Cricetulus griseus: one gene and its partners. The protein of the gene in region 3 interacts with the protein of the main gene of each other region in a pairwise test. Links are inferred from orthologs where the notes say so. Each region holds a gene or a part of one and is shown on either strand. Other genes may lie near its edges.

Region 1 (5,936 bases), on a different chromosome or scaffold from region 3:
CACTGGATTCTTGGGGTTCCAGGATTGAAGAACACTCAAGACACAGTTAAGCAACAAACAAGTCACAAGATAGCTAACCAATGGGGAAATAAAAGAAATTGTCTAGGGTGAAACACGGGAAAGATCCCCAACCCTTCCAGAGTCCAGGAGACCGACCTTCCTACTCAGGCCATCATTGCATAAACAGATTTTGTGTGCTTGGCTTTAGAGTGTGAGTGAGTGTGAGTGTGTGTGTGTGTGTGTGTGTGTGTGTGTGTGTGTGTGTGTGTGTGTGTGTGTCTGTCGGCACACAGAGGTCTGAAATCCCCAGAGCTGGAGCCATGGGTAGTGGGTACTGAACAAGGGTCTTCTGGGAGAGCAGGAAGAACTCTTAGCAGCTACGGTAGCTCTCTAGCTCCTCCTGTGTGCTTATTTTAAACAGCACTTCTAGAGTTGGGAATCACACTGCTTCTTTTGACTTTTGCCCTATGAATCAAAATGCACTGTTCTTTAGATGAATCCAAGTTTTAGTTCCTCAAGAAGAAATTTTTCTTTGGCTGTTTTGCTTAAGTAACACCTGTCACATGCAAGTCCCAGAAAAATAATTAACAACAGTAACAAAAAATCCCTCACCACCAACCTCCCTGAATTATTTACCAAAAGCCTTGATACTGTAACCCTAGGAACCTAACATTCTAGTTACTAGGGACTCATTTAAACTGCCATCAGTCACTTGGTGCTGCCTAAAACCAATACTGGAGCAACAAAGATGAATAAAAATAACCACAAACAGCTATATCTGAAGTAACATTTCCTCCAGGAGAGATAATGTTGGTCAAATTAATTATAAAAACTAGGACAGCCTGGCAGTGGTGGCATATGCCTTTAAACCCAGCACTAAGGAGGCAGAGGCCAGGCTAGTCTACAGAGTTCCAGGACAGCTAAGGCTACACCCAGAAACCCTGCCTCAAAATACTCAAAATAAATAAATACAAATTAAGAACCATATTAGATCTGGCCCAACAAAGGAAAGTAAATATTTCAACACTGTACAGTTAAAACACACACACCCAAAACAAACCTAATGAGTTTTCAGAGTATAGCTACTTTAAATGTTTTAAAATTTTTATTTTATGTGTATCAATGTTTTTGTCTGCATGTATCTATGTACATCACTTGTGTGCCTGGTGCCTTCAGATGCCAGAAGATATACTAGAACCAGAGTCACAGATGATTACAAACCACCACGTGGGTGCTGGGAATCGAACACCTGTTTTCTGAAAGACTGCCAGTGAGTGCTCTTATTCTCTGAGTTTTCTCTTCTCTTCAGTCCTGAGCACTTACTTTTCTGGCTTTTAATTTCTACCTCATATTTTTCAAGGAAAATAATCAACCACATATCATTTCTGAGAATAGTACAGAATGGCTATGACAACTTCTAAACACTGCCCTAGTTATACAGGTCTATCAGCCCATATCTGGGTGTGAACACAGCTAAGTGTTAGGGTCAGGAGGTGGGACTATAGTGCAGAGTAAAGGAAACCACCTTTCCAAACCACCGCTGGTTGTTGCAGACAAATTCCATACAAAACCTTCCCTTACATGATTACTAAAAAGGCCACACCACCCATTCTTTACTGCAGGACACAGGGCAAAGACGGCATGGCAGGCTGGTCTGACAACACCCACAAATGGAACATGACTGATCCTCAATAAAAATTTGATGACACTACATAAAAAACAGGATGAACTTCATTTCAAACACTCTCAAGGTTCCCCTGCTACCCAATGGCTATGAATGAAATTCAAGTAAAACTACTTAAAACTCTGAAAAAAAGAGGCTTGCAACCCTAATTTCTGGCTTCAGTGAATATGAGTTACAGAGATGTGTAAACTTCACAAATAAGATCTCTTCTCCAGATGTGTAAACTTGCCTGAACTGGCTTGAAGAGTATTCAAAATTGTCTAAGAAGCAAATCACAAATTTTAGCTTCAGAAACTAATAATCCATCACAATTAGGAAATGGTTCCATCACTGACACCGATGATCTGAAGAAAACAGTTGGAGTAGTTAGAAGCAGTTGCTTTGATCCCTCTTCTCAAATATTCCTAGCTCAGGGGCTGGCAATGTGACTCAGCAGATTAAGGTGCTTGCCACAAAAAGGAGAACTGAGTTCAATACCCAGGATCCCCAAGACAGAAGTGAACCAACCCTCCCAAGCTGTCCTCTGACCACCACAAGTGAATGCCCCACCCCTATACGTAAACGGAAAAGAAAGCAAAACAAAAGGCCCCAAACACAAAACCAGCCCAAAGGTAGCAATACAAAGTGTTCTTTGCTTTTTGAGACCGGTTTCACTCTGTAGCCCAGGACAGGAAGGTGGTGATCCTCCTGCCTCAGCCTCCTGAGTGCTGAGAGCCATGAGCCAACACCCTGGTCTAACATAGTCTGTAAAGCACTGAGCAGCATGCCTTGTGTGTAGTTCAATAAATAGTTTTAGTCTTAAAAATAAACAAAGCAAACCAACTGTTGATTTTTTAGCCCATCATCCCACTCCTGTCTGGAATCAGGGACCCTTAACTAACCGTACAGTCCATACAGTCCTCAGAAACACATGGTTAAACCAATCAACTTAAGCCCACCAGTATAACCCTAGGTGTATTCAATTAATCTCTGATTCGGGGCGACTCTGATCAGAGCCTTGTTAATAGGCCTTTGGGGCCCAAGGTTTTTATGAATAACTGGTTTCCTGTCCCCAATGCACACCTTTTCTACTGGAATGGCAAAGGTCCCATAAGTAAGACAGTTTAAACAGGTAAGGACCTAACTGGGTGCTGGGTCGAAAACGACTGATAGTGGGTGGATTCTGAGCAAACTCATGTACTGAGACCCACCCAACCAGGCCCGAACAGCTCATAACTGGAGGCGTGGGTCTGCCTTCCTTGGGCTCCCCTAGTTAGCTAGGTTAACAAGTTAACTAGGTTACCTTGTGAGAGTCTTCCAAACATCAATTCCCACCACCGCCCCTTTCACTTTCCACTTTACAAATATTCCCCGAGTAGTTACAGTGTAACAGGCTCTGACTTTCCCAATCTGGAGGATATTTTGGTTCTCAGTAACTTTCAAATATGGCAACAGTTTTTCCCTTAGGTATTTTTTTCTTTTCCCAAATGGCAAAACCTGGACTTTGTAGTGGACTACTCCCTGGGAGGAACAGAGCCCTGGTTCCAGCAAAGCCCACTTACAGCGGGTGAATCACTGAAATCTTAGCGTAGTGAGGCCCCTGGGCCCAGACATTGGGGACTGAGTCATTCCAAAGCTAGCGCTGCCGGAAACACGCCCTGAGCTGCAGGAGGAGGAGGAGTCCCACAGGCGGGGCCTGGACCTTTCTCCTTCCTAGTAGTTACCTGGAGCACCTGCCCGAGGGTCTCCAATAGGTACCGGCCCCCGTGCACCGACCGGGCACTGGTTCTCTAGGCAGTGGACCACTGATGGAGGCAAACTCCGGCCTAGCCCTGAGGCACAGGACACCCCGCGTTGTGTATGACAGTGTACACGCGAGGAGTGGCGGCTCTCATTTCTTCCCTGAGACTCCGAATCCTGGTTCAGACGGGGGTTCACCCAAGGACCCCCTCCATCGTTTCACCTCCGCCAGATTAGAGCTGGCGGTAAGGAGAAGGCTGGAGGCTGCAGGAACCCAGATCGGGGAACCCAGGTGCCGCCAGCGGTGCACCTCCGGTACCCGGCGTTCCAGGGTCTCCCCGTCCCCTCCCCCAGGCGTGCTCTACAAGCCCAGGGCGCGCACAGGCCCCGGGCCGCTCACCACGGGGATACAGAAGGCGACCAACACAGCACACGGCGGGGTGCGCGCGTCGTCCGGGCACGCGTACCTTGCTCTCGATCAGCTTCACCATTTTGGCTGTCGCGGGGAGGAACCACACGAGTTTCTGTAGGATCGGATGGAAGCGGATCCGAGATGCCTGACGGATCTTGCGGCGGATCGAGGCGCCCGCCTTCTCTTTATAGCGACAGGGCGGAGCACGGCGGGGCGGGGCGGGGCGGGCGGGCGCGTGCAGCGGGGACGCGCTCCCTGGCCTCCCGCGCCCGCCAAGCCGCCTCGGCAGGCCACACCTAAGCCACGCCTCCAAGAGGTGGAGCGGAAATCAGGTTTCCAGGGGGCGGAGCCACAGCCGGCTACTAGAGCAGCTCCGGTACTTCCCTAGTGATGGCCCCGCCCATGTCTCCTCCCTCTGCGCGGCGGAAAGCTGGCCTTGGTTTACAGGGGGAGAGGCTAGCGCAGGCGCCTGGAGCAGCTTCGGGCTCCCAGACACCGCCCTGCGCTTACACAGGGAAGTAAGTGTGCGTCCAGTTGCTCTAAGGGCATTTTCGTTGTGCACTACGTAGGGAGGATGCTCATAGTCCCCTCTCACAATCTGGAGTCCTTCTAGGATCACATTGGCCAGGCCCCAAATAGACCTAAGTCAGATACTTCCAGACTGGGCCTGGGGACTGCCCAGGCAGAAGTGTATCCTTCGACCAGGGCGGCCATGCTGCGGTTCCGCCTCAAAGTGCTGAGTAACGATGACTAGGAAGTGTCTCAGTGCACTCCTTCCCCTCCTTTCTGGAGATTTCCCTGTCCCTTCTCTCCCCCCTCCCCTTCCTATTCTTTAACTTTCGCGGGTGAACCTGCTACTGGAGAGGGACAGAGTCCTTTAGTGCCCTTTTTTTGTGCCCCATGCGCATGCGGGCATAATGGACATCGGATTGTCTAGTTCACAGCGTTGTCTCGAAGGATTTAAGGGCTTGAAAACTGACGAGGACAGCGCTGGGCACATAAGGAAGCACTCAATAAATGATTCTAATTATAGTCATCGTGAGCGCTAATTAAGCTTGCGTGGTGCCATGCCGGCCTTGCTGAATTTGGCTGCCTTGTATTTACAATGACAGTGTACATGCATTGCAGAAATTGTTCTGCCTTGGGAGACGCCAGGAAGAGTGTGTGCCAATGATAACTGGGGTGATGTGCAGGAGGAAGCTAAGACATTGTTAGGGTGGCTTTGTGCAGCCCGAAGCTGAGGTGGAGACTGGACAGAGCCAGCAAGCTGGGAGGATGTTTGCCAAGGCTGCCTTTTCAGAGCTGAGCAGATCTAGATAAATATGCATCCAGAGGTGAAGAGCTGGAGATGGTGAAACCGTGTCCCTGTCTCAGTGCCCCTACCACCACCACCACCTTTGTTCAGAACTAGAAGAAAACCAGAACTTTTGAACCAGTTGTGTGAAGTTTTTGGAGGGCTGAGGAATGCAAGTAATGAGTGAGGATGTGGACAAGACGGAACATTCTGAACCCAGCCCTAGACTGAGGGTGGGTGCGGCCCTGAAGGCAGTAGCCTTCCCTCTGAAGACAGCTGAGGCAGAGAGGACCCCTGAGCTGATGAACAGAATCTATAACATGCTTTTCAGCTGTTCTTTTCAGTCCAGCTACACTCCAGCTTCCTGGCTATTTAGTAGTTGGTGAATCTGTCTATCAAGGCCATGAAATCAGTGACCTGTAGGACCTGGTCCCTCCCTTAACTGACACTTCCCCATAGACCCTCAGATGTCCCCTGGCTCCCTGACACCTGTCCAGTCCCACCACACATAGGGTTAATGTGGAGGATGTTGCAAGTGCAGAGAACAAGGAACTGGGAGGTCAGCTTTGCCATCTCTCCTGTCTGCATCCTCACTTAGCAGCTGGGTTACTCTAGGCCAGTTTATTTAGCTTTCCCAGGCCCCAGTTTCTCTGTGAAATGGAGTTAATGCTACTTCTGGCTGAAGGTTTGAGCTGTGGTATGTGTAAGGTACTGAGACTTGTGCTTACTGCTTAGCACCACATGAAACTGACTGCAGTCTGTTAAACTGAAAGACAGAAGACATCTGTCTGAGATGAGGTCAGGGCCGGGGTGGATGGGGGGGGGAC
Region 2 (6,063 bases), on a different chromosome or scaffold from region 3:
TGGAAAAGAGCTTGCTGTGCAAGGAGGAAGTGAGTTTGGATCCCCAGTACCCACGAACAAGCTAAGTGTGATAGCATGCTTGCAACTCCTGTGCTGATTGATGAGCAACGAGTCTCTGAGCTCATTGACCATACAATCTAATAGAATTTGTGAGTTCTAGGTTCAGTAAGAGACCCTGTCTCAAATAATAAGGTGGAGAGCAACTGAGGAAGACTCCTGTTGTTCACCTCTGGCCCCCACACCTGTGCACACAGGTGCATATTTACCCCACATGTGCTGCTTTGTACCTAACAGAACGACACACACACACACACACACACACACACACACACACACACACACACACACACACTCAGAGAAATATTTACTTGATCTTAGCCACACTGACAGTGTTTAGGTAACCTAGGGTTGCTTTTCTCTCTGGGAATGACGCAGGGAGTGACCATGACATTGTTGGCTAACGCTGTGAAGACCATACTTGCAAATCAAATTCTAGGAAGGCTAGGCTGTGGAAACTACCCCCTCCACAGTTGCCCTCAGGCTGTGATTTTTGGACGCACTGAAAGTCCATGACGGCTGTTGGACCTTCAGGGTTAGCTTGTGACTGGTAGAGGGAAGCAGTGAAATACTCACTGTGGGCAGATCCCTTAAAAAAAAAGGAAAGGACAGAAAAGGTCAGCAGCTACTGCTCAAAGCTCCTAGCTTGTGTTTATCCTCTGGATGGAAAACTCAGGTGAAGATTTATCGTGTTCTCCTAAGGAAGCCATGATGCTGTTTTCTCACGAAATACCGAGGAACTGGCTCCTTCCAGCATTTGTTGGATATTTAGTGTAAGGAATGAAGGGATGTTTGCCAGATCCCAGGCAAAGCGGCCTATCATTTGCAAGGGGTTGGGGGTGATGTGCACTAACAAAGCTAGTATTTAGAGGGCACTTACTGTATGCAACTAAACACTTTATGTGTATTAACTGACATAATCCCCACAACAACCCCGAGGAAAACACTATTATCTCCACTTTACAGAGCAGGAACAGGCCTGCCCAAGGCAGTCAGTGGCAGCCAGCCTCCAAACCTAACTTTCCTGGCTCCAGAGCTAGGTTTCTGCTCATCAGAACATTTTCTAAAATTGTAAGGTCGACAGCAAAACACCTGGCACATAGGAAAGAGAGATTTCCAACCAGACTGAGGGCTAAGGAAAGGTTTTATGGAGGGCTGACAGATGTGAATCTTCAAGGTCAACCAGCAGGTGGAGAAAGGATGTGGGCAGAAACAGTCTCGGGGAAGCTGCGGCCTGACAAAAAGGAGCAGCAGTTTGGGTATCCGCCAAGCGATGACAGCACACGTGGGAGGAAGGCTACAGACGGAGGCCTCGCCATATCCTTAAAGGTCCTTGAGGACTAGGCCCCCCTCTCTGTAAGTAACCCGGGAGTAAAATCCTCAAACTAGCATGTGCTCATCCCTTACTTTCTGCAGAGTTCCCCTGCCAGCGATCGAGGCAGACAGCACTCCCGGGTTTCTTTCCGAGGACATACTGAGTGGAGCTGATCAAGGTCACCCGCGCTCGAGTACAGCGTGTCCAGGATGACCACTCGAGTTCTGCGCACAAATGCCGGGGACTTGGCTGTCAGCCCGGCCTGGCCAGCTCAGGAACGTGCGCACTGCCGGGGACTGCTCAGCGAGTCACTGGGACACCTGTCCTCTGCAATACGCATGGGCGGGCCACTGCTCCAGGGATCCAGGCCCCAGAAGGTCAAGGAGTGTCCTCTGGGGACTCCAGCCACTCGCAACATCCTCATCACCGCAAGGAATAAAAGTCTCAGCGATTGGAACAAGCTGTGCCAATCACCCTTGCCCCCGCCCACACCTCCTCCGGTGTAAATCTCACTGGCTGCATCATGCGAGCCTCCGATAAGATTCTCTTTTTGAATTGGCTCATAGAGACTTGTCCCGCCTCACCCATTTTTGTCAGAAGGTTGTGATTGGCTAAGTTCGTTGCCAAGTTCCGGACGCGGCTCGGCCATTGGAAGCCGCGGGCTGCCCCCGCCCGCCGGTGAAGGTGAGCCTCTCCTCCGGTCACCGCACCTAGTAGCTCCGGGCTCGCGCTCGAGGTCTCGGCAGATTCCATCAGGATGTCGCCTCCGTCAGTCTTTGCCCAGGTTCCGCAGGCCCCTCCAGTTCTGGTCTTTAAGCTCACTGCAGACTTCCGGGAGGATCCAGATCCCCTCAAGGTTAACCTCGGCGTGGGAGGTAAGGATGTAGTGCCCTGGAATGCCAGCAGCATGGGGGACCCGGCGAGGAGCCGAGGCTTAGTTTGTTGCCTCCCTGAGAGGGGGCCCGGGAGAGAAGGCTGGGACCACGAGGGGGGCATCCACCAACCTGCCCATTTTGCAGATGGTGATACCGAGTCCTTGGAAAGAGGTGGTGTGTTCAAGGTCACGCAGAACAGGTGCAGCATGTGGGGGCACAAACGTAGTTTTTCTGATTCTCCATCCTGTGTGCTTTATAGTACAAGTTCCAAAGCAGCAAGATGGCCAGGGATTGTAAGGAGGGAGAAGTCTGGTCGCTTTGGGGTCGTGGTCAGCCGGGAAGTGGGAAGGAAGAGCTGTTAGCCTAACGGAGCTGCGGTCTGGGCTGAGTGAGCGGGAGGTACCAGTTAGGAAGCCCGTCAAACCACGTGGTCCCGGCAAGATCTAGGCTTGGTTTATCCTCAGAGTGGAGCCGATGAGGTGCAGCCCAGCTCGGGGCCCACACATCTGGGTCTTCGTTTCCTGATTGTTCTCCTTGAACAATCTGCTAAGGAGGTTTGTGTTGGAAACTGTCTGAAACTCCTTTTAACGGGAGCCTCCGGCGACTTTTATTAAAACTGTCGCTTTGATGTGGGACGCTCCAGGGAGCTTGGTTTACATTTGTCCATATACAGAGGCCAGTCAAGGAGAGAAAAGTGAGTAAGACGAGGAATTAAAGGCGCTAGAAGGTTTGAAAGATTTGTGCCGAGGGGATTCGGAATCAAGATCTTTATAAGAAATTGTACATAACCCACCCTCTCTCTCTGTGTCTCTTTCCCTCCCTCCCTCCCTCCCTCCCTCCCTCCCTCCCTCTGTCTCTTTCCCTCCCTCCCTCCATCCTCTCTCTCTCTCTCTCTCTCTCTCTCTCTCTCTCTCTCTCTCTCACACACACACACCACACACACACACACACACACACACACACACACAGACACACACACGCAGACACACACACGCAGACACACACTTCATCAAAGAATAGGAGGGGGCAAGAGACAATCCTGAAGTGCTGTTATTGATGGTGGGTGATGGGCATAAATGATATACATTATTTTCTCAACTTTTATGTATGTTTGAAACTTCTCAAAATAAAGCACTAAAAAACCAGTGTTTAGTTGTTCCTCCAATGGAGGGAACTATGATTTTTTTTTTATTTTAGCAGCCAGCAGAGCAGGAGAAATACTGATTGTCTTGCATAAAAATAAAAAAGCTCTCTATTTAAATCCAGTGCAGAAGCTCCAAGTGTTTCTTTATAGCCTAATTTATGTAGAAGAACTGTTGAGGTTGATCTTCTTGGCCCATCTTACAGGGTTTTTGCGGAGACTAAACGCCATCACAGGCTTTGACTGAAGTCTGGAGTATAAGCAGGAGTTATATAATGGTAGCTATTTCTGTTGTTGTTTTGGCATTTCTTTGAGTGGGTCTCTTAAAAAGAAGTTGAATAAAAATTATCAGCCTACAAACTGAAAAACAAAATAATTTGTGACACTGGTTCAGAAATAAAGCGCTCATGCACACAAAATCCTCCCTGCTATGGCTTCCAGTCCAGATAGCCCAAAGCAATCTTTAGCTCAGGTACCCATCACTGTTTCCAGGAACCTAAGAACATAAGCAATGAGTTGTGCATGTAAGTGCACTGTGTGCCCACGGCAATTCTGGGAGTTGTTTTCTCTCCCATTTGCAAGGAAGGAAGCTGAAGCCCTGGGAGAAAGTATAGTTTGACCCCCTAGGTGGGAGACCTGGGACTCTAGCCAGGTCTCAGGCTTCAGGGTCTCTGGCAGCTTCTCTGCTTGGGATACTTTCAGCTGGCCTGGGGGTAGCCAGTAACCTACAGGGAGAAGAGGCAGGAGCTCCCTGCCTGGGTACCCGGCCCCTGTGTGGTCAAATGAGGGCTAATTAATGCCCTTGAAGCTGAGGTAGAATGAGGTATCAGGCCTGAATGATGATTACAGTCTATCAAAAGTCAACTCCAGGATTGCCCAGCACGCTCTGTAATTATGCAGTGTGGAATAATTGTATTGACCCCATCTACTGACCATGGAGTAAAAGAACAATTAATTGTGAAATGTGATATGTAAGTGAAAGGTGTTTCAGATAAACCTATTTGGTCATTGCTGTGACCTGCTGTGTGTGGGTGATAGATGGCAGCTAGGAGTCTAATCACAAAAGAGAGGAGGAGTAAATGATTTCGTTCTGCACCTACATGTCCTGTTTACTTACACACATACATACCTTTGTAAAGGAGATTAATTACTGTGAGAGTGATGCTTCCTCCCAAGGTCAAAGGTAATGGACACTCCCCCACTCCGGTTTTAGCAATGCTGGACAGTTTTAGAATGAACTGCTACTGTAATCTCGTGAGCTGGTTCCCATTTGCAGATAGTTTCCTCAGAGATGTTTCCTCTTGCTGGGCTGATTTCAATAGTTTTCTTGTCATTAAACAGAGCAGTGTGTCATATTCTTCAATGTTAAGCGCAGTGCTTATGGAGTTGATGGGCTTAGTGTTTCTCAAAGCCTCTGACTGTAGTGCCTTTAAGGACAGAGAGACACAAGTCCAACCTGAAGCAAAATCTCTTGTTTGTTTGTTATTTATTTGTTTATTCTCTGTCTTTTTCTGTGTGCATCGTGAGGGTATATATTCACATGGAGGCCAGCTGTTGATACTAAGTGTCTTGCACTATTGCTTTCTACCTTTTCCTCTGGGACAGTGTTTCTCACTGAACCCAATGCTCACTGATGGCATGACCAGCTGACCAGTGAGCTCAGGGATTTGCCTGTCTCCTCTGTTCTGTACCAGCTCTTTATGTGGGTGTCTGGGATCTGGTCAGGTCTCCTGGGTGTGTGGTAGGCACTCGGTAGACTGAGCTGTCTCTCCAGCACCCAGTTCCCCCCCCCCCTTTTTTTTTTTTTAAAGTGAACTTATCCTTCTTTTGGTCTGGTTAGTTTAAGTCAGTTATTTTCAGTGTGGCTTCTCCATCTCCAGATGTTAATTATTGGTTAAATGAGCTGTACTAGGTGTTTCTCAGAGCTCAGGGTGGAGAGGGGTCTTAGAGGCATATGTGCACGGGCTCTTGGGTGTGGATAGGCGAGGGAAGTGGAGCCTTTAGGAGGAGATGCGGGTGAGAGTTGGACTTTTCAACTCTGTTCTGCCTTTCTCCCAAGCGAGACTGCTGGGCCTGCTTACAGCCTGCGTGACTGCCCTGAAGCTCACTCAGGAAGAAGGACCATGGACCACAGAGCAGAGCTCAGCAGCACGGCTGATAAAATGGGTCCTGATAAAGTGCTCTGGGCTCAGAGCTTCTCGATTCCCTTGGGCATCACCTATTAAAATCAAAAAGAAAGGAAGCAAGCTTTTGTTGGACTCAGTAGAGTCAGCCTAACTCTTCTTATCTTTGGCAAATAATTTCTGGCCTCAGTTTCCTGATTCCTAATACCCATCTATTTTGTGGTTTGTTAAAATAATTAAATGAGAAGAAAGAAATGTGCAGAGTATTTAGTAAATCCTTGTTATTACCGGGCCTTCAGTTTCCACTAGTGTCTATAATTATGAGAGCTTTCCGTCCTGGATCTCCTCACCTAGTACCCTTCTTATTTGCCGCCATATGTTCTGTGTCTCCATTAGCTCCTTAACGCACCACCCACTCACTATCCAGACTAGATGGGCATTGGGATCGCCAGCAGCCCTGTCACTGGTGCCCCCTGTTGTGTGTGCTTAGTCTTTGGGTTCTAGTTTTGCTTCCTCAGAAGTCCATCTCTGTTTCTTCCCTTGTCTTTATTC
Region 3 (5,449 bases):
GGGCCACACCCCTGAACAAATGGCTCTCCCTCCTCCAGCAGCCAGGGGTAGGCTCTCATGGTCCCTTCCCCCACCCGTGCTGGAATGTGGATTGGCTTGGTCTTCTGCAGGTCTTGGGCAGGCAGCCACAGCTGCTGTGAGGTCGTGAGTACAGCAGCCCTGTTATGTCCAGAAGATGCTGCTTCACAGCAGTTTTCCCTGAACTCTCTGGCCCTTATAATCTTTCTGCCCTCTTTTCTGTGATGATCTTAGAGCCTTAGGAGTGAGGACTGTGATACAGACATCCTGTGTACAGCTGAGCACTCCACAGACACTTATTCTCTGCACTTTGACCAGCACAAGTCTTTGTAGTAATTATCTTTTACTACACGAGAAAGCTTCTCTTATGAGGACTGCTCTCTAATCTATGGTCCAGATTTAAGTGTTTTGAAAGCACTTTGATGCTATATCTGTTTAGCAAAATAATAGTAGTAAGCTCTCCCCTAAGGCTTAGGAGCTCCCAGCCTTGAGTTATTGACCAGATTTACGGTAGAGGCACATGTTTCTTTCTGCAGGATAGATGTTAAGTGCAACTAGAGAATGGTTAGTTTCCCCTCATAATGTTCATGCCACTATTGCAACCATGGGCACATCTTGCGAGGGTGATCAATAGTTCTACCTCTTCAAGTTTCTGCCATCTTTCTGTGACATAAAGCTGTTAACACATGAGCCTCTAGGAGTCCTTGTATATCCAAACTATAACACTAGTCTTGAGAATAAGCCTAACTGAAACAAAATTGCATAAATAAGTGGAATTTCAAGTAAGAATTCATTTGATAAATTGTTCTGTAATAACAAAGACTAAGAGACAAATGGCCAAAGTGTCAAAGCCATAGCAGAGTTTTTAAAAATCAAGTAAGGACATGAGAGTTATCCATACTAGAAGATAGGAAATCTGTCTCTGGTGTCTCCTATCTTCTCCTCTCCTCCACTGACCAGTGGTTTGCAAACACACAAGCCTTTTGAGAAGTTTGCATTCCATCTTTAACAATGACAAACACAGTATTATGAGGTGAATTTCACTGTAACATAGGTGAGATGTCTGAGATTCAGAAGAATGGCCCACTGTGACCAGTGTATATTATTGTTGATGAAGCTTAGAATTTGAGGCTATAAGAAAATAGCTTTACATGAAAGAAAATAAATAAATTCAGCAGTTACTCCATGGTTCAATATGAATTCCAAATATGTATTAAGCATATGTAATAAAATATTAATATACATTTAAGTACTAGAAAGGAAAGTAAGGATGAATGTTAAGTTGAAAAGCCAAATTTAAACACCACCAAATAAGCTTCCATGTGAAACAAAGTTACATTATATGATATCTGATTGCCCCAAAGAAGGTTTTAAAACTAGACAGAGTGGTCTTTAAAAGCCTAATGGAAATGTTAAGTATGCTGAACCACAAAAAGCAAAGGAAAGAAGGACAAATCTGTTCTGTAGAACTTTTCAACAAACTTGTTCGCTAACACTTTGATCTCCACATTTTTCAGTGTGATTAATTGCAGAACAGAACTCAAGATATTAAAAAAAATCTTTGTAGCTGCAATTTGATATGGGCCAAATACAAAAACACAAAAACTTATTAATTACAAAGATTTCCAGACAGTAGCGTGCCAACTATTAACTGAAGTTTTAGGTAATTGGCCAAGTGATTCACAGAATAAGAATGTTGACTTCCTGTGGCATTTTCTGTGCTACTCCATGACTTGGAGGAGAAGGGTGCTTTTACCAGCCATGATTTAACATCCCTAAACTCAGTGATGATTGCCTGCCCCACTCTACCCCCAAGTCAGTCAAGATTGGATATAGCAAGTTGAATGAATTTACGCAGAGTCAATCTGTCAAGAGAAACCAAAGCAGGTGGCAATTCTCGGACCCTGGACTCATTTAGATTTGTCATTTGTGTGCCTGTGACAAGTCAGTAGGTATTCTCTCTCTCAGTTTCCAAAGCTAAAGTGCAAACAAAAGCAGTCCATGGCTCACAGTTTTCCTTTCTTGCACGAGAGTCTTTTAGTTTACCCTACAAAGCATCCAAGCCAACTATGAATACGAAGTTTCCAAACTGTTCCTTGTTTCTAGAACATTCTCTAGGGCCTTGGGAGAGGCATCATTGGTTTCATGTCATTTGTTCACTTTTATTGAAGTATGCATTTAACTAATAGATTTTTATTTCAGGCCAAAAATGCGATCCGAGCTGTCCGAACGGAAGTTGCTGGGGAGGAGGAGAAGAGAACTGCCAGAAATGTAAGTCAGCACAGCTCTGGGGCCTGAGAAACATGCCCTTGTGAGTGGAGTCCACACAGTGTGTGGCCCACCTCTCCTACACTTTGGTAACAGGACGAGTACAGGAACTTGGCAATGGACCCAGTGTTAACTATTTCATGAGTGTTGGTCTTGCCAACCCAACTGCACACAGCCATCAAAGGCTAACTATTTGGGATACTTCAGACCATCATAAAATGCCTAAAAGCCAGCTACCCAAGTGCCTAAGTTATGTAGGATGCCCTGTTTCTGCTCCTACTCCCCCTTTCTTAGTACCAAGGGTTTCTCCAGGGAGCATATGTGTGAATCCTACTTTTTAAAAAGTTTAATTAACTCCAGCATGGTTGCTGGAGTTAATTAAAGAACCCAGGAATGTATCAGCCTCAAAACTGACCACAGTTCATTGCCTTTGTGACATAACTATCCATTCTTTTAAACACCATGTCCAGTCAGGTGCTCTTCTGGCTTGTGTGCTTTCTGTACCACCAAGAATTCTCTAGCTACTATCTACTCATTCAAAAGATCTGATCAGACAGACTTGCTTTAATCACGTCTCCTAAGTGATTTGAAATAAATGATAAGAGATATACTGAGGGGAAGGTTGTGATGATACTCAGTTTGGCTGAATGTGAATGCCTAAAAGCCTGTTCCACAGTCAGGAAATCCATCCATCTTCCCATCTGTTTCTTTCTACTGCATGCAAGTGTTCCTCCAGGCCCCTGGAAGATAAGCTGCCACCTAGATGCAGCTCATTGGTGATCTTTCTTTTTCAGTGACCAAAATCATCTGTGCCCAGCAATGTTCCCGGCGTTGCCGTGGCAGGTCCCCCAGTGACTGCTGCCACAACCAGTGTGCCGCTGGTTGTACAGGACCCCGAGAGAGTGACTGTCTGGTAAGACTGTAGGCACTGGGGAGGCAGGCCTCAGAGCTTTACACACTGACTGTGATGGGGCCTTCCTGTGGGGCACAGTGTAAATAAGTATTGTCTTGGCCAACAGCAGCAACAGCATTATGACAAATGTCTAGAGCTGCTTCTGTAAGACCCCTTGAGATGTGTCCAGTTACACAGACCTTGCACAGTATGACATTGGAATTGTCCCCTCCATTCCACTTTGCCCACCATCTTTCAATGCCTCTTGGCTGCTCCCCTACCCTATGCCATCCCATGGTGTCTTTTTTCCCCTGACACTACCGAAGCTCTGGTGAAAGAGCTTGTGAATGCACGGGCTAGTGAATGTGATTCCTGGGGTTAGCACAAAGCTGAGCAAGGCCCTGTTGGGCTCCAGAAGAGGAAGTCCATCCTAAGCTAGAGTCTAGAATATCGTATGGTTTCTGCAAACAGAAGATTCTTAAATCCCAAACCAGAGCTAGCCCCGGATGTTAACACTTGGACAGTCTGGGCTGGACCTAAGAGCAGCACAGGAGAATGACCGTCCATGTAGTTTTTAGTAAGAGCTAAGACCTTTGATCTCGCCCTTTCTGAATGGAAGCTTCCTGTTAAGATGCCAGCCCTTTGACGATAAATTCTAAAATGTCTTCCAAAGCACTCTTTATAAGAGAAACCCAGTATAAACTGGGTTTAAAAATGATGTCACACCATATTTACCTGGCCGTGGTTACCTTTCTTTGTCACCTGTAATCAATAGAGATGTATTTTTTCTAATCAAAAACCCTACGTTATAGCAACTGCAGCAGTCAGTATACTTAAAAATAGTACTTGTTACTTACAAGAGGGCAATGTTTCTGACTACCCTGAAAAGCTGACTGGATTCTTTTCCCTCTCACTGAACTCCTGAGCACTGAGAGCTGCCATTGGCCTGACCTGCAGGCTGCCTGGCCCTGTGCTTCTTTCATTTGGATGCAATATCTTGAGCAGGCATGTTGTCCCTCCTATGACAGGTCTGTCATAAGTTCCGGGATGAAGCCACATGCAAAGACACCTGCCCACCACTGATGCTGTACAACCCCACCACATATCAGATGGATGTCAACCCTGAGGGAAAGTACAGCTTTGGCGCCACCTGTGTGAAGAAATGCCCACGTGAGTTGTCCACTGTTGACTTTCCTGTCATCCATGTCCTCTTTTGTCTTATGCTGGAGTCTTGGGTAGTTTGGGGCCCCTTGTGCTTGCCTTGTTGTCAGGTAGGTTAGCACATGCCCAGCTAGATACAAAGGTGAGGACACAAGGACTCTGGACCAACAGCTAGGGAGCCTGCATGGGACTGACCTAGACCCTCTGTGGGTATGTGACTGTTGTATACTTTGGTCTGTTTGTAAGGCTCCTAGCAGTGAGATCATTTCCCTGGGGCTTAGCTGCCCTATGGGAACCTGTACTCCATGCTGGATTACCTAGTCCAGCCTTTATGCAGAGGGAGGATCTCAGTCCTACCTTGACTTGATGCCCCATGCTTTGTTCAAGCCCATGAGACACCTGCCTCTTTCTGGATGGAGACAGAAGAGGAGTGGGTGGATGGGGAAAGGGGGTAGATGGGAGGCAATAGGAGGAGAGGAGGGAGAGGACACTTTGGTTGGTATGTAAAATAAAGGAAAAATTTTAATTAATTTTTTTCAAAAAGTGAGGAGCCAGCTCAGTGCTGAGCGACAGAGGCAGAGGCAACCTGCAGCAGCTAGGGCACCTGGCCTCCAAGGGTGGCTTCATCTGCACTGATCCTACAGTTGGTGACCAGACTTTGTAACAAAAGATGCCTGTTGTTTCACCCCAAGTCTGAGGACAACTATAGTAACTTGAGGTGTCCTGGCACTGACTAACACAAAATCACAACCTTCTGGACTAATCATTGTTTGACTCTGTACTCTGCTGGTATTTAACAGACCTAAATTAGAAAAAAATAACATATCCACCATCTTGAATAGAAAAAAAACTCTGGTTGGGATCTTGGAGAATTGCAGTTTTAGTTTTGCTTTGATTTACTCCTTTGGGTTCAGGCTTTGTTTTTTTGTATGATTATACTCTCCTGGGACCTCTAGGGAAATGCCAACACAGATCAGTGTCAAACAGAGAAGTAAAGCAATGAATAAAGAGCCTTAAGATCCAATCCTGATGCTGGGCAGGGACAGATGTGCCTTTAATCCCAGCACTGGGAGGCAGAGGCAGATGGATGTCTGCGTTCGAGGCCAGCCT
Region 4 (5,986 bases), on a different chromosome or scaffold from region 3:
CGAACCTGACAGTATGCCACCCACCCTATGGTGTGCAATGGACACTGGAGTCCATTAAAAAAGCACTCAGAAGCCAAATCTTACCCTTCATTTTGTCAGTGGCACAGACAGGACCCCAACTCCAGCCTTTAGTTGCCTAGCCTCACCCACCACACCCACTGCTTTTCTTTCCCCTACCCTGCAATTGCCCATGTGGTCCCAGGCAGGGCAGGAGCAAGTAGACACATCTCAAGAGGAGGGGGAGGGGGAGCCAGCGGCAGCAGCAGGAACTAAGCCTGCCTGTGGTCTCCAACTTCACAAACCACACCAGGCTGAAATATGACACACGCTCATTCAGCTGAAAGGGAGGAGATATTTTTACTTAACATCAGCTGCCTAAACATTGCTCTCCCCTCCCCGCCACCACCACCATACATAACTTCTGGGACCCCCTTTTCTTTGCTTCAGCTCAATTTTCTTAGAATGTACTTTCCCCAGGCTTTTGGGATGTCTAAGAGTGTCAAATAGTAGAAAGGAAGGACCAGTTCTGGCCAGGAGCCCAGCTAACAAAAGACCTTGCCTGCTTCCAGGAGGCTTAATTTCCTAAAATAGATGGGAGACTGAGCCACACTCTGGGAACCTGTTGATGGTAAAGAACATATGTGCTTATAAATAACTGTGAGGCCTCTCCAGTCTTCCCTGAGCTGTGCAGACCAAGTCCCAGCACCCATGTAAAAGCGAGTACACAGGCACACATCTGTACCTCCAGGTGCACAGACACACATCTGTATCTCCAGGTGCACAGACACACATCTGTATCTCCAGGTGCACAGGCACACATCTGTATCTCCAGGTACACAGACACACATCTGTACCTCCAGGTGCACAGCACACATCTGTACCTCCAGGTGCACAGGCACACATCTGTACCTCCAGGTGCACAGGCACACATCTGTACCTCCAGGTGCGCAGGCACACATCTGTACATCCAGGTGAACAGGCGCACATCTGTACCTCCAGTACAGTACTGAGCGTGGAAAGAACAGAAACAGGTGAGTCTCTGAGGCTCTTTGGCCAGGCAGCCTAGCTGAACTGTTGAGTTCCAGGTTCACTGAGAGACTATCAAAAAATAGTGGAGGGTCTGGTGAGATGGCCAGGCGAAGCGAGTACTTCCTACAGATGCCTGACAGCCTGAGTTTGACTCCCAGACCCAGGTACAGGTAGAAGGGAATACTGACTCTGCAAAGTTGTTCTCGGACGCCACATGTGCACCCCAGCATGCTTACCCACACACGCACATAACACATACACACAGTAATAATAAATTAATAGTAAATAAAAACTTTCATAAAAATAAGTGAAAAGTGATAGATGCCTGAAACTGACCTTTGGCCTCTACACATACACGTGCATGTGCACACACGTGTCCACACACACACACACACACACACACACACACACACACACACACACACCACAGACATATAAAAAGCACTAAGAATGCAGCCCCACACCTAAGCTAGCACTTGTAATTTCTCTTACATTCTCTGGTCAGCAAATACTCAACAGCTGTGGGCCCAGGCCAGAAGCGTTTCCTTGAAGAAAACCAAAGATCAGTGTTTCATCAAAGCGCTACAGGCCAGAATGATAACATCTCTGTGGACAGACACATGTCATCTAAGAGCCAAACTGCCCACACACAGTCAGGCCCCAGAGGACCAGGAAGCAGGGAGTGCTCCCTCCCAGGCACAGTGCTCACTGTGACAGTCCACCTCAAAGGAAAGAGGAGGACAATCAAGACAAACGAGCCTGTCCCTCATTTTGAACCTACAGCAATAATCTTTTTATTTTACAACTATTTTTTAAGAAGAAAATCCACTACACTGAGATACTGACAATAACAGCATCTACCAAGTAGCTGCGTCCCATCTGTTTTCAGGTAAAAGTTACCTGTTGGCCATCCCAGCAGGCATTGCTATGGCTTGGACCTGCCTGCCAACCACGAGACTCATCCTCAGGGCCTCGCTGCCTCTAATACAGCCCTTCCCCCTGCACCCACACATCAGCCACTAGGTCAATGAGTTCTTGGTCACAAACCTTTCCTGGCATCTTACTGCCTGTGGAGTAAAGTCTAAGTCCCTATTTTAACCAGTTCTGTCTTCATCACAGTCCCAATTCCAGCACTCCAACCTTGCCCCATCCTCCAGTCTAGCTATGTAGAATGCACAGAAAAACTCAGCGCCTTTGCACAAACTGCCCCTGCTTCTTGGAATAGCTCTTGCCCTGATCCCTCTTCTTCTGGCAAACTATTACTCATTTCCAAGGCCTGGCTCAACCAGACTGAATTAGTCACCCCCTCTTACTATGCTGTAACTGAGTATGGTCTAAATATGTCAAGATGGGAAGTATAGGGAGTGCTCTCCTCCTTGGGGCTCTTGAGCCCCTCCATGGTCAAGACCCAGAGCATCAGGTTAGGAGGGAAGGAAACTGATTGACAGGCAAGCCTGCCTGCTTCCCCTGGCTCTTGTGAGGCTCTCATAAAAAGACTATGGAAAATTGTGGAATAAATTCCCTCCTGGGGTTGACACAGAAATCTTTGCTTCTGGATAATTTACACAAGTGCCAAACCAAGCTCCCTTGGCTGCTTATGATTTCCCTGGCATTTATAAATAGGGAGGCCCAAGAAAGGAAGACAGTCTCAAAGAAGCTGGGCACCACCGGATCCCTGTTCCCATGCTGCTGCTTCCTCTTTCTTTTAAAGTCTCCCCCCAAGTGTGGGGCAGCATAACACCTCTGGCCAGTACTGCACAAAACACCCACGAGTCTAAGGTCCCACGAAAGGAATCAGGAAGAATAGGCTGGCGCTGGGCCCATGCCCTGCCACTGCCTCCCTGTGTGACTCTGGCCCTTGGGTCACACTTAGAGATGGAGTGCAACTCCACAGAAGGGGTCAATATAAAGTGGCTCTGAGGTCCTGGTACTCCGGTCAGAATCATGGTCCCTGGGGAACAGGATGGTCAGAATTAAGTCTTTGAAAAGTCCCAGAGGTCAAACAAAGGCAGACACTAGCCTTTCACAAATGCTTCATACCCAGGAATGCCAGGAAGAACTCCTGGGTCTGTGAAAAGATTCCTCCCTGCTCTGTGGAGACTCTAAGAATGGAATAAAGGGATGTCTGGGCTCGGGTCAACCTACAGTTGGATCTCCTGCTTGCCTGTATACCCCAGCTCTCAGACCTGGGGCTTCCCCTGCAGGCCCGGCAAGCCTGGACCATGGGGGAAGTTGCTATAATAAAGTTGGGGGAGAGTGGACCTGAAAAGTGATGGAGACCCTGAGATAAGGTGCTCCTAATCAGGAAGGCGTCGACGTTCGGTCAGAAGTTTCTTCTCCAGGCTGGAAGGTAATGCAACACTGCAAGGCGGGAAATAAAACAGCTAAATGCCTTCAGAACGGTCATGAAGATGTCAGGCACGCACAAGGAGGAACTTTCTAACAGTTTTTGGGCCCTGAAGGAGGAAGGTGTTGCTCAGGAGTGAAGACTCCACTACGCGGACTCCTCACCCGGCCACTGTTCAAACCATGCATGGTCAGTCACCTCTCTCGGGGTCTGACACCCCCAAAGCAAAGATGACTCGGGCCCAGTTCCCCGCACTCGCGGGGCGGGTCGAGGTGAGGTCCAGTGCCTGCAGCACTGAGGATCTAGGCGTGGCGGAATGGACCGCTCCTCTTCACCTCTAGCTCCGGGCCACCTCCCTCGGTCTCCTGGAGAGAAGGCAGGTGAGCGAGCACGTCCTTCTCCCGAGATGCCCACGCGTGGGCCGAACCCCAGACTCATCCGACCTCGGATACGCAAGGGAAGGAGAGGAGATTAAGCTCAACCCACCCCGAAAGCCCAGGACCCGAGCGGCCCGCCTTCTTACCTGCGGCGGCGCGGGCAACAGCGGCTGCTCAGTCCAGCTGTAAGCCCAGCTGGTTCCTGGAGTCGGGGCGGGGTGCTCTGCGCGAGCGGCCGGATGGGCAGGGCACACACCGGAGCCGCCCTCAAGGCGGGGCAGGCTGCGGGGGAGGAGCACAGCTGGGAGGATGAAGACTGGCTCCAGGCTAACATTCATCCTCTGTCCGCCTGAAGGTGTCTACCAAGCCCTCTGCGGTCCACAGGAGGAAACTGAAGCTGGGAACATGGAGGGCAATTCTGAAGGGGCCCAAGGTAGTGAGGAGCAGACTCGGGTTCACCAGGGCGAGGCTGGGGGCAAAGAGTGGGTAGTTTGCGGTGCAAAGCTAAAGCAGTGCCGGGAGGTCCTTCAGAGGCAAAGCCCTCCATCTGGGAAATAGCTCCCTGCAGGAAGAGGTGATCTGCAGTCCTCCAGCAGCTTGCCCTGCTGAAGAGAACAAGGAGAATCTCTTCTAATGTCACCCAGAAGTAAGGAAGGAGAAATGCCAAGGCAATCCCATCCTGATGTGTCCAGCCTGGGGACTCTGGGCAATGAACTATGAACTTAACACATCTAAGGCTCAGTGCAGCCACTTATCAAATGAGCCTCTCATGGTGGGAGGGGACATGACTCGACTTTGTGAGAAAAGACACTTAGCACAATGGCAAACACAGAGGATCATCTCTCATAAACAGATGTTCACATTAGTGCAAAAGCAAATGTTCCCTGAGGGCACTGGTTGGGAACATGAGTGGAAGGGCACTTCCATGCAAGTGTAAGAATTGATTTCTCCCCACTGCATCAGACAACACTTGAGCATTTATAAAGGAGCAGGATACAGGATGCAGGATGCTACAAGCATGGCTTCCCTTTGGAAGAATTCTCACACCACTCAGGATGCGATGTCCCTTCCAGTACAACAGTAGCTCATGTTCACCACAGTAAAGCTCCCTCCAACACAAGGTGAAATGTTCCGGGATTTAGTAATTACTAGGTGCCAAGAGTGGTATTTTAGTGGCAGAGAGAGAAGAACTCAGAATTTCCTAGTTTAGTCTTTCATTGAGAAGTAGCCAGGGAAGCCACAAGGCCTGGGGAATCCCAGGCTGGCTCATCCTCCCACCTACTCTTTTAGGATCTGCAATGCTTCTCATGTCACCAGCTTTCGCCTTGTCTCTTTCCTGTCTCCTGAGGGAGGCGTCACGATGTATGGTTTTCAGAAGAGATGACTGAGCGACAGAAAAGGTGGGTTCTCTGGGTCTGGTCCTCTGTGAACAAGACTTGGCTGTGGCTCATATGTTCAATGTCCTGTGTCATACTCTGCCATCCTTCCTGGCTTGGTAAACTGCCCAGATCCACTTCCTCTAAAACCTAGAGTGTCCACACTAGGGGAAACTTACACTCCCTCTGTAGGGCCAATGGGCTGGGAGGCAAAAGCACAAGCTGCTTGGCTTTCCACTGATGCTGAGCCCAGGCATACACATTGTTTCCAAAGCCAGCGGTGGGAGAGGAACCTTAAATTTGTGTTCCCTCGAGCTGAAGGGCATCACATTGGGGTAGAAGAAACACAAGAACATTTGTTCAAGCCCTCATGGTAGAGAGGAGGGGACAGGTCAAGAGAGCAAAGGGCTTGTTCCTATAACTCTAGGCTGGAAAATGCAGAGCTATCTCCTGAAATTAATTAAAGTATGAAGCTACGATGATTGACGCTTGCAGAGGAGGGCCAAGCACATTCCTGCTCCTTCATTTCTTGGTGTTCCAAGATGCTCAGGGGATATTCTAACCTGTTCTTTCCTGTCAGGTCTGCTTTGTAGGGGTTCTAGGAGTCCCATTCATCTTCTTGTCCCATCCCCTTCTTTTCTGGACATCTTGAAGCCCATCATCAGTCAGGTGCATTTGTCCTGGATCCTTGCCTGCAAATGGAAGAATCTTGATGTAGTCTTTTGACAGAATACCTCCCCATCCTCAAAATGAGGATGAGAGAGATGAAGGCCGCACAGGTCATTCAGTAAACAATTCGGAGGTGCCTGCTTCCTTCAAGAATGCCTCACCCACAGATCCTCTCACTGGGAGCCCAC

Evidence for each region. The genes of interacting proteins can lie anywhere in the genome.
Region 1: the proteins of Egfr (region 3) and Txn interact in binary tests that used the Homo sapiens proteins (3 or more experiments, as listed by UniProt). The link is inferred for Cricetulus griseus from reciprocal best matches to the Homo sapiens genes EGFR and TXN.
Region 2: the proteins of Egfr (region 3) and Got1 interact in a protein complementation assay, tested with the Homo sapiens proteins (2 studies listed by BioGRID and IntAct). The link is inferred for Cricetulus griseus from reciprocal best matches to the Homo sapiens genes EGFR and GOT1.
Region 4: the proteins of Egfr (region 3) and Gsn interact in a protein complementation assay, tested with the Homo sapiens proteins (2 studies listed by IntAct). The link is inferred for Cricetulus griseus from reciprocal best matches to the Homo sapiens genes EGFR and GSN.

The regions. Positions count from the first base shown.
Region 1 is NC_048595.1:85,907,848-85,913,783, reverse strand, and holds the start of Txn (thioredoxin), read right to left. Parts: upstream 4,028-5,936; 5' UTR 3,895-4,027; coding exon 3,871-3,894; intron 1-3,870. UniProt on the Homo sapiens protein: Participates in various redox reactions through the reversible oxidation of its active center dithiol to a disulfide and catalyzes dithiol-disulfide exchange reactions.
Region 2 is NC_048596.1:18,043,406-18,049,468, forward strand, and holds the start of Got1 (aspartate aminotransferase, cytoplasmic), read left to right. Parts: upstream 1-2,036; 5' UTR 2,037-2,129; coding exon 2,130-2,247; intron 2,248-6,063. UniProt on the Homo sapiens protein: Biosynthesis of L-glutamate from L-aspartate or L-cysteine. Important regulator of levels of glutamate, the major excitatory neurotransmitter of the vertebrate central nervous system. Acts as a scavenger of glutamate in brain neuroprotection.
Region 3 is NW_023276807.1:89,399,650-89,405,098, reverse strand, and holds part of Egfr (epidermal growth factor receptor), read left to right. Parts: intron 1-2,220; coding exon 2,221-2,289; intron 2,290-3,080; coding exon 3,081-3,199; intron 3,200-4,206; coding exon 4,207-4,348; intron 4,349-5,449. UniProt on the Homo sapiens protein: Receptor tyrosine kinase binding ligands of the EGF family and activating several signaling cascades to convert extracellular cues into appropriate cellular responses.
Region 4 is NC_048599.1:147,072,804-147,078,789, reverse strand, and holds the start of Gsn (gelsolin), read right to left. Parts: upstream 4,028-5,986; 5' UTR 3,900-4,027; intron 1-3,899. UniProt on the Homo sapiens protein: Calcium-regulated, actin-modulating protein that binds to the plus (or barbed) ends of actin monomers or filaments, preventing monomer exchange (end-blocking or capping).